Saccharomyces cerevisiae S288C: one gene and its partner. Changing the gene in region 1 together with any one later gene gives a genetic interaction. Each region holds a gene or a part of one and is shown on either strand. Other genes may lie near its edges.

The links. Genes that interact genetically often act in the same process or in processes that back each other up.
Region 2: mutations in RRD2 (region 1) and CCS1 impair growth when combined (synthetic growth defect), as found in Saccharomyces cerevisiae (2 studies listed by BioGRID, with this or other methods).

The regions. Positions count from the first base shown.
Region 1 is NC_001148.4:263,503-268,916, reverse strand, and holds RRD2 (peptidylprolyl isomerase RRD2), read right to left. Parts: upstream 3,890-5,414; coding exon 2,813-3,889; downstream 1-2,812. Other genes in the region: YPL150W (non-specific serine/threonine protein kinase), read right to left, coding at 1-729; mRNA splicing protein PRP46, read left to right, coding at 1,382-2,737; YPL152W-A (uncharacterized protein), read right to left, coding at 4,217-4,315; serine/threonine/tyrosine protein kinase RAD53, read left to right, coding at 4,725-5,414. UniProt on the Saccharomyces cerevisiae protein: PPIases accelerate the folding of proteins. It catalyzes the cis-trans isomerization of proline imidic peptide bonds in oligopeptides.
Region 2 is NC_001145.3:346,655-351,794, reverse strand, and holds CCS1 (copper chaperone CCS1), read left to right. Parts: upstream 1-3,534; coding exon 3,535-4,284; downstream 4,285-5,140. Other genes in the region: D-arabinose 1-dehydrogenase (NAD(P)(+)) ARA2, read left to right, coding at 1-829; YET2 (Yet2p), read right to left, coding at 932-1,414; chromatin-binding transcription coactivator SUB1, read left to right, coding at 2,273-3,151. UniProt on the Saccharomyces cerevisiae protein: Copper chaperone for apo superoxide dismutase 1 (SOD1). Binds copper ions and delivers them specifically to apo-SOD1.

The sequences.
Region 1 (5,414 bases):
TTTCCATTTCGTTTTAGCCTCATCGTCATCATCAAATGGCAAATATCCCGTAATTAATGTGTATAGTATCACTCCCAATGACCATATATCAATCTTGAATCCATCATAAGTCCTTCTTTCTATCAATTCAGGTGCCATATAAACTGTGGTACCGCAAACCGTTTCTAATGTCGTCTTTGTCATACATTCTCTCGTAAAACCAAAATCCGTCAATTTTGCATTTCCATTTTTGTCTAATAAAATATTCTCTAACTTCAAATCTCTATGAACACAATGCATTGAGTGTGCATAGTAAACAGCACCTGAAATTTGTGCAAACAACTCTCCGCATTCCAATAACGATATTCTACGCAGAGAAAGTAAGTGGTCATATAATTCCTTCCCTGGGCAATATTCTAATGCCATCCACACTTTTGATTCTGTCACTATCACTTCATAAAGCTTTGTAATATAAGGAAAATCGAACTGTCTATGGTAAAATACCTCTCTAACGATATTGGGATCATTCTTATCACTCGTCTTTAGGCAGACTTTACGATGTGTTGGTCTATGGAGCGCTAAATATACTTTTCCAAAACTTCCTTCACCTATTTGTTTTAAAATCTTGTAGTTTCCCACTTCTGTCAACTCATCAGAAGTAAATTGGCTGTATAGTCGATTGTACGATGATCCTATAATGCTTTTTATATTGTTTTGTTCCAATTTCGAGGATCCAACAGGATTAACCATGGTGAGCAGTATATTCACCTATATGTGGGTCTTTTATTGTCTCTTGGCAACGGATAAGGAGAACTTGCTTCCACTACACAGTGACTAGTTATTAATGAAAAACGAAACAAAATTTATTGATACAAAAAATAGTATTCGGATAACGAAACTCTTGTTGACTTCAAAATACAGGTATTGGAATTTTCGTAATGATTCGGAATGATATGAGGGAAAAAACGTTACTTTATTTAATTCATACAAGATATTTATTGTATACCGTTATTGATAAGTGTTCTGTTGTCAAGATTGGGAGGGTCCACGCGGTCAACATTGTTAAGATAAGCCGAAAATCACCACACAAATCCACGATGACCTAAGAACATTCGTTCGCTTAAATCACCTATAGTCACAATAAAGTAGCATTCAATGTGACAAGAGGAGCTATCTACTTTCAGAGAATTACTCCTCATCTCGTATTCCTATTTCGAGTTCAACAACTCTTTTATTAAGTAAGGGTGCTCAAAATTCTTCATCATCTAATACGGAAAAGCTACAATTTTGGCAATAAAAGATTATTCAAGATGTGAAGCTAACAGTAATTATTACCCACTTCATTGCATCTTAAAACCATTTCCGAGGATGCAGACACTGTGTTACATGGAGATTAGTGAGAATGGACGGAAATGATCACAAAGTCGAAAATTTAGGAGATGTAGACAAATTTTATTCCAGAATACGCTGGAATAACCAATTTTCATATATGGCCACTCTGCCGCCCCACCTACAAAGCGAAATGGAAGGTCAGAAATCATTGCTAATGCGATATGATACTTATAGGAAGGAAAGTTCTTCTTTTAGTGGTGAAGGCAAGAAAGTTACTCTGCAGCATGTTCCTACAGATTTTTCAGAAGCATCACAAGCAGTGATTAGCAAGAAAGATCACGATACGCATGCATCTGCTTTTGTGAATAAAATTTTCCAACCAGAGGTTGCTGAAGAACTTATAGTTAATCGATACGAAAAACTTCTGTCACAAAGGCCGGAATGGCATGCACCCTGGAAACTTTCACGCGTTATCAATGGCCATCTTGGATGGGTACGATGCGTTGCAATCGATCCTGTTGACAACGAATGGTTCATCACCGGAAGTAATGATACGACAATGAAAGTTTGGGATCTTGCAACAGGAAAATTAAAAACTACCTTAGCAGGGCATGTAATGACAGTGAGAGACGTTGCTGTGTCAGATCGACATCCTTATTTATTTTCTGTTAGTGAAGATAAGACGGTCAAATGCTGGGACCTAGAGAAAAACCAAATTATTAGAGATTACTATGGACATTTATCGGGGGTTCGTACGGTGAGCATACATCCAACGCTGGATCTCATAGCTACCGCAGGCCGAGATAGCGTTATCAAACTCTGGGATATGAGAACCAGAATACCTGTTATTACACTAGTTGGGCATAAGGGTCCAATCAATCAAGTACAGTGTACTCCAGTAGACCCTCAAGTGGTGAGTTCATCGACTGATGCTACGGTAAGGTTATGGGATGTAGTTGCTGGGAAAACAATGAAAGTTCTAACACATCATAAGAGGTCTGTGAGAGCTACAGCGTTGCATCCTAAGGAGTTTTCGGTGGCTTCTGCGTGTACTGATGACATCAGATCATGGGGATTAGCAGAGGGGTCTTTACTCACCAATTTTGAGTCTGAAAAGACAGGCATAATCAATACTTTAAGCATTAATCAAGATGATGTATTATTCGCTGGCGGTGACAATGGTGTGCTTTCCTTTTATGATTATAAGTCTGGTCACAAATACCAATCGTTGGCCACGAGAGAAATGGTAGGCTCTCTGGAAGGTGAACGGAGTGTTCTTTGTAGCACTTTCGATAAAACAGGTTTAAGATTAATCACTGGAGAAGCAGACAAAAGCATAAAGATTTGGAAACAGGATGAGACGGCTACAAAAGAGTCAGAACCGGGGCTAGCGTGGAACCCCAACTTAAGCGCCAAAAGATTTTAGTGGGAGTAGATGGAAAAAGTACGTACCCTGTATACGTGTATATACAATGAGATAGCATCTATAAATGGACTTTTCCTAATCAAAAGGTATTGGTTTATGATGTTTTTTATTCATCTCAGTAGCCGCAATAGCGCTCGGTAACTTTATACCACAGCAGTCTCCCCAAGTAGTATGAACATGTCCTTCAAAATTGCACTCATCATCCTTATCAGTCCCATCATGTATGTGGCCTCTTGGTGGAGATACACCATCCGGACAAGGCAAAAACTCGCTAAAGTAAAAATGTTGCATGATGGGCAATTTACTAAGGACTTCGGCTTTATACATTTTTATCATCCCTTCAGCAACTTTTGACCAAGTCTTTACACCGCTGATGTCATCTAGCATAGGAGAATGCCATCTCAAGGAGGCGGATGACTTGACCTTATTAATAAAAGCGATACAACCAAAATATAAGTACCGATGAGCGAACATTTCTACGAGCTCATTATTGTGAATTGATATCGGCTTTAAGTGCTTGTGGGTGGTTAATTGGAAGGCACCAAATAGAAATGGAAGGAAATGATAATCATCTAATCCCCAAACACCATGAGAGCCCGCAGGCTCAAGCCAATATTTAGTTTCTAGTATCCTCATTATTTTAAGGTATTCTATAAAAACTTTCAGCACGAGGTTAGTTGAATCGTTTGAAAGATTGAATATTCCATAACTATAGAGTCCATAAAGTAAACACATGAAATTTAATTCATGACCTGAACCATAATCAATTCTTCTTTTATTTCCCCATGATTCATCTAGATAAATCGATAATTGTTCCAACTGCTCATCTGTGAGAGAGGGAAATTCGGAACGTAAGATCTTCCTGGAATTCCGTGAAACTTCGTCATAAAAGTCCCTAAACTCAACCTTACCAAATCTCGAGCTATCTGCATCCTTTATTACTGGGTGCTTCTGAGTGATATCTTTTATTTGCGAAAGCAAGTTCATCATACTGTTTATTGACTCCGATATTGGTTCTTTGTACTGGGAATTCTCATGTCCTTTGACAGATTCAGCCAAATCTATAATAAATTTAGTGAAATGAGCTCTTGTTGGGGATTCTTCCCATAGTTTCATATCGTCTGGAGTCAATAGTCTCTTTTCTGGCAACATCTTTTTCTAAATATTTATATTGTTCTTTACGGATTGTTGTTTATGGACTGTTCTTTCTGCACAGGCGACTAACATAAAGTACCTCTCTCTTGTCATTGATATCCCTTTTGTTCTATCACATCCGTTAGGATTTTATTCTGTGCTTACTCACGTGAAAGAGAGGGAAGAGTGTAAAAGTTACCCGAAAATCTATTATGGCGGCTATTGTAGTACGTCCAAAACAACGTATTTCAATGTAAATTCAAAGCAAACACTGAGAAAAAACAAAAACTTACTTATTGGTTCGCTCAGCACCTACCTAAATGGTACTTTTAGAATGATACTGTATTATCTACCGTGGTATCGGCAACTATAGGACGGAGATAAAGCATGCCAAAGTAATTCTTCCTTTATTAGATGAGATTTCAGCGTGAGGTGAACCATCATTTGTTTGGTTGGTGCATTAATAGCCTGCTTCCTTTTAATTAAGCCGGAAAGTGTTTGTCACAGATGTCAATGAAACGTGCATCTATTAACATATTTATTTTCATTTCGAGGGTGAGGTGGTGTGGACGCGTTGATACGGCAACGGGAGTGACGCGTAAAATTGGCAGAAAAATCATCACCGTGGGTAGACTTGGAAATGAAAACATTTATAGAATAAAGGTACAGGTTGAGAAGATAAAGGGTACCAAAGTTACCATTTTGAAATCTCTGATCAAGAAAAGGTAAGAAAGCAGAAAAGGACGGTAGAGATTATTGGAAGACAAACTAATTTTGTATATGCATTCGATTTTCTTAAGCTTTAAAAGAGAGAATAGTGAGAAAAGATAGTGTTACACAACATCAACTAAAAATGGAAAATATTACACAACCCACACAGCAATCCACGCAGGCTACTCAAAGGTTTTTGATTGAGAAGTTTTCTCAAGAACAGATCGGCGAAAACATTGTGTGCAGGGTCATTTGTACCACGGGTCAAATTCCCATCCGAGATTTGTCAGCTGATATTTCACAAGTGCTTAAGGAAAAACGATCCATAAAGAAAGTTTGGACATTTGGTAGAAACCCAGCCTGTGACTATCATTTAGGAAACATTTCAAGACTGTCAAATAAGCATTTCCAAATACTACTAGGAGAAGACGGTAACCTTTTATTGAATGACATTTCCACTAATGGGACCTGGTTAAATGGGCAAAAAGTCGAGAAGAACAGCAATCAGTTACTGTCTCAAGGTGATGAAATAACCGTTGGTGTAGGCGTGGAATCAGATATTTTATCTCTGGTCATTTTCATAAACGACAAATTTAAGCAGTGCCTCGAGCAGAACAAAGTTGATCGCATAAGATCTAACCTGAAAAATACCTCTAAAATAGCTTCTCCTGGTCTTACATCATCTACTGCATCATCAATGGTGGCCAACAAGACTGGTATTTTTAAGGATTTTTCGATTATTGACGAAGTGGTGGGCCAGGGTGCATTTGCCACAGTAAAGAAAGCCATTGAAAGAACTACTGGGAAAACATTCGCGGTGAAGATTATAAGT
Region 2 (5,140 bases), on another chromosome or scaffold:
TAGTGAGGTTCTTTATGGTAGGGCACTGTCCAATTTAAGGAATGAATTTCCCAGAGACACTTATTTTATATGCACAAAGGTTGGGCGTATTGGTGCGGAAGAGTTTAACTATTCTAGAGATTTCGTGAGATTTAGTGTTCACAGATCGTGCGAAAGATTACACACTACATATCTCGATTTGGTGTACTTGCACGATGTCGAGTTTGTCAAATTTCCAGACATCTTAGAGGCATTAAAGGAATTGAGGACCTTGAAGAACAAAGGAGTTATCAAAAATTTTGGCATATCAGGCTACCCAATCGACTTTATCACCTGGCTTGCTGAGTACTGCTCTACCGAGGAAAGTGATATTGGGTCATTGGATGCAGTATTGTCCTATTGTAACTTGAACTTACAAAACAATAAGCTATTGAACTTTCGAGAAAGACTGCTACGCAATGCTAAACTGAAAATGGTTTGCAACGCATCAATCTTGAGCATGTCGCTACTAAGGTCACAGGAGACAAGACAGTTTCACCCGTGTTCTCATGAATTGAGAGAATGCGCATCTCAGGCTGCCAAATACTGTCAAGAACAAAATGTCGACTTAGCCGATTTGGCCACAAGATACGCGATTTCGGAATGGGTAGGAAAGGGACCCGTTGTTCTTGGAGTCAGTAGCATGGAAGAATTGAAACTTGCTCTGGATAATTACGAAATTGTGAAATCGAATGGCAACAGATTATCTTCTAAGGACGGACAACTAGTAGAATATATCCAAAAGAATATTTTTAAAGAACATTTTAATGAAGAGTGGTCTTCAGGTATTCCTCATCCAGAAATGATATAATCACCCCAAAAAGAAAAAAAATTTGTCAAATTTTAGTTTATATTCATTTGTTCTATTTACATATGTAAGTTTTTCCTTTTCTTCTTTTTTAGTTTTTTCCTTTTAAAATTTCTTCTTCTGCAATTCCTCTAAATATTTTTGCTTTCGTCTTAACTTTTCCTTCAGAATGTCATCTCCAGCCTTCATTTTGTCATTCCATTCCACTATTCTTCGCAATATACTCATCACGGTGAGTATACATATATAAAAGTAGATGATGAAGCCTGAAATGTAAACATTCCTTTGGTTATATGCCCTTGAAGCCAGTGCATCCACTGGGGTTACACTATTTATTATATAGGGATTTTTCTGGTTGCGGTACGTAGACACTCTGATCTGTGACCTTTTCCATGAATCGATGAACAAAAGACCAACGAAGATCATGATTCCAACCATATAAGTTCTGAATTTCTTATTAGTACTTATGATACTGTAGCGTATATACAGCCACCTTCTCATACGCTGTGGAAGCGGAAGTACCAAAATAAACAGAATGGCCATTTCGATGACCAGTAACGAAAAGAGTACTGCCAAATAAACACCCATCACTAACTCGACTTTGAAATTTTGCTTAGTATTTTTCTATTCACATAATTCATGCTCCAACGAACACTCAGCGTATTTATTTACTTCCAGGCGGCTAGCTTTTCTCAGAGAAGGCCAGCTGTACATATATTGCTCTATCAACCCTTTTTTTTCCCTTGTCTTTTTTCCAAGAAAACCATTTTGCCTAATTGACACAAGCCTACACAACCAAGTTAGCCGTTAAACACAGCAGACGTATCTCGATCTCGTCAATGATATATACGTGTTTTTTGGAAGAATGAGATGGGATAGTAATACACCAAAAATGGGCTGATCATCCGATGTTATTATCAACCATTGGTGGATGGTCAAGACAGCGGCGCTAAATGCCACAGCCTCGATCCGGGTAATACTTATTTTGAGTTTTTTCAGCTGGGACGAATTATCATCACTAACAAGGACAATGAGTATAGCACTGCACACACACACGTTTTATCTTTACGTTATACGTAATTTTTCCCTCCTTTTAATGATGAGAATTTATTAATACATTCATTTGAATGGGAATTTTACTTTTACCTTCCTCAAATTTCTTTATCAAAACTCAAGTTTTCCTCTCTTTTCATCTCCTCTTCCTCTCCTTTCTTTCTTTCTCTCTTTCTTTTTCTCTCTTGGCTTGCCTTCTGCTCTCTATTCTTGATGAAAATTCTTAATTTGATCCAGGGAACGATAGGAAGACAAGAGAAGAGGTTGTAAACGTGAATTTTGTAAAAGTCCCCAATCAAAGAAACACTTTTGGTTGCCCACTTAAGAAAGCTATTTAATATTAAATCTTTCCGTACACATCAATTTTTCGACATATATACAAACACAAGCGCTATGTCATATTACAACAGGTATAGGAACAAAAGAAGAAGCGATAATGGTGGAGGAAACTTAAGTAACAGTAACAATAACAATGGTGGTATGCCATCTGGACTATCCGCATCAGATGCAATTTTTGATCTGGGTAAAAATAAGAGGGTCACGGTAAGACAATTTAGAAACATAAATTTAATTGATATCCGTGAGTACTATCTGGACTCATCTACAGGCGAAATGAAACCTGGGAAGAAAGGTATTTCGTTGACAGAAGATCTATACGACGAATTGCTTAAGCACAGATTGAATATTGATGAAGCCTTGAGAAGGCTAGGATCCAAGAGACCAAAAACCAAAATGGTTAGACTATTGTCCGACGACGAATATGAAGATGATAACAATAATGACAGTACTAATAACGACAAGGATAAAAACGGGAAGGACAAGAACAGCCCAAAGAAGAGGAGAGAAGATAAGTCCAAAGCATCTAATGAGAGTCATGACTTGGAGCCACGTTCAAAGAAGAAGAAACCTGCTCCACCTACTCTACTTCCACACGAGGAAAACATTCAAAACGCTGAAAGAGAAGCCAATGCTACTTTGATCATCCCAGGCCAGGCAGGTAGGAAACAACAAGAGGAACGCAAGCAAAAGGAAAAAGAAGAGGCAGAGGAGGCAAAGGCAAAAGCAGTTGCAGAACAAGAGAAAGAGGCAAAGGCAAAAGAAAAGATAGCTGAACCTGAACCTGAACCTGTACCCACACTTCAAGCTAAAAAAGAAGATATTGTCTCCAACATAAACGAGTCAAAAGATGCAAATTCTAGTGACGAAGAATTTGCTCAAAGCTTGGAAGCTGAAATGAACAAGGCTGAAGACGACATAAGTGAAGAAGAATAATAGTCCTGGAAGTTGAGCTTGCTTATGTCAACGTCTTCCATCCAACGAGCTTATTAGAGAATAAAAAAAAAAAAAAAGAAATAAAAATATATACTTTTCTGTTTGTCAAATTCATTTTAACAATTCATATAATCAAATATGTGATTTATAATAACCAGACAAAAGTTAATCTTGTACATTTCAGTATAATATACTATCAAAAAAAAATTTGCGCTTACTAAGCATTTTCCCCGTACAACTAGTACACAGTGAGAATGGAAGAGGGTAAAAATTCATTGTTCGGAAAAATAATATATTAAAGGCAAGCCAAAAAAAAAAAATTTAGACTAAGAAAAGAATAAAGATATCTTTGCAAGGCAGAAACCCATTCGATCAGCACAAAAATGACCACGAACGATACATACGAGGCTACTTATGCCATTCCCATGCACTGTGAAAATTGCGTGAATGATATAAAGGCATGCCTAAAAAATGTCCCAGGAATCAATTCATTGAATTTCGATATAGAGCAACAAATAATGAGCGTGGAAAGCTCAGTAGCCCCTTCAACCATCATCAACACCTTGCGAAACTGTGGTAAAGACGCCATCATAAGAGGCGCCGGGAAGCCGAATTCTTCCGCGGTCGCTATCTTAGAGACCTTTCAAAAATATACTATAGACCAGAAAAAGGACACCGCCGTGAGGGGCCTAGCAAGAATCGTTCAGGTTGGAGAGAATAAGACTCTTTTTGACATCACTGTAAATGGCGTCCCAGAGGCGGGAAATTACCACGCCAGCATTCACGAGAAAGGCGACGTCTCCAAGGGCGTGGAATCTACTGGTAAAGTTTGGCACAAGTTCGACGAACCCATTGAATGCTTCAACGAGAGTGATTTGGGCAAGAACTTGTACAGTGGGAAGACCTTTCTGAGCGCTCCCTTGCCAACATGGCAACTTATCGGCCGCAGCTTTGTCATTTCCAAGTCTCTGAACCACCCAGAAAACGAGCCTTCCTCCGTTAAGGACTACTCATTTCTGGGAGTCATTGCGAGAAGCGCTGGTGTGTGGGAAAATAATAAACAAGTGTGTGCGTGTACCGGAAAGACTGTTTGGGAAGAGAGAAAAGATGCCTTGGCCAACAACATCAAATAGAACATCCAAGATAGCACAACGTAGCGTAATACAGATATAACATAATATAGTATACTACATCATAACCACGTGATGCCGGACATGTACATACGCATGTGGCAATATGCCAAAGCCGGTTTCCAATCCTACTTCATATTGCCTTGTCCCTCCGGTTTCGCCGGCAACAACGGCCCGGAACGTACCTAAAGAGGTATTTCGCTCTTGGTATCCGTACCTCACTTATCTCCAGCACCTATCGTTCCTGGCCAGACGGCCGGAGTTGATCTTTCGTCTTTCTCCGGAAACCACGGCGTTCAGCTACGCATTCCGTAGCAGCCAAGCCGGTTCTTGACACCATCTGTCTACGTCATACATATCGGCTCTTTTTGTCTCTAATAAATTAAAGAGAGCCATTTATACGAAAAAAACACCTTTTTACGAATTTCAGAAAATCAGAATGGGAAAAACAAACTGCGGAAAAGAAAAACAAGACACCGAAAATATATACAATTTCCCCTCTACAGACAACATATAGTATTGACACTTACTTATTTATATTTGTTGTTTCCAGCGAAAGAGACAGGTAATAAAGACAAATAGCAGAACAAAGTGGTGTTTGTTGCCTGATATCAGCACCAGTCAGACTTGGCCCTTTTACTTTTATCGCGTAAACCGTGTTCCCTTTTTTTGCCTTCCTGTTTGGTAATAGTAAGAAAGCAGCACGAGCTCAACAAGACTTCCCAGTTAGAAACTGTGTTACACGAAAATAAAACAGACGGAAACCTTGGAGATAACAGAAACTAGTCTGTAATACGAAAAGTTCAAAAAAAAAAAGATATTGCTTTTTTCTTCCTTACTTTATCGGTATCTTCCTCAT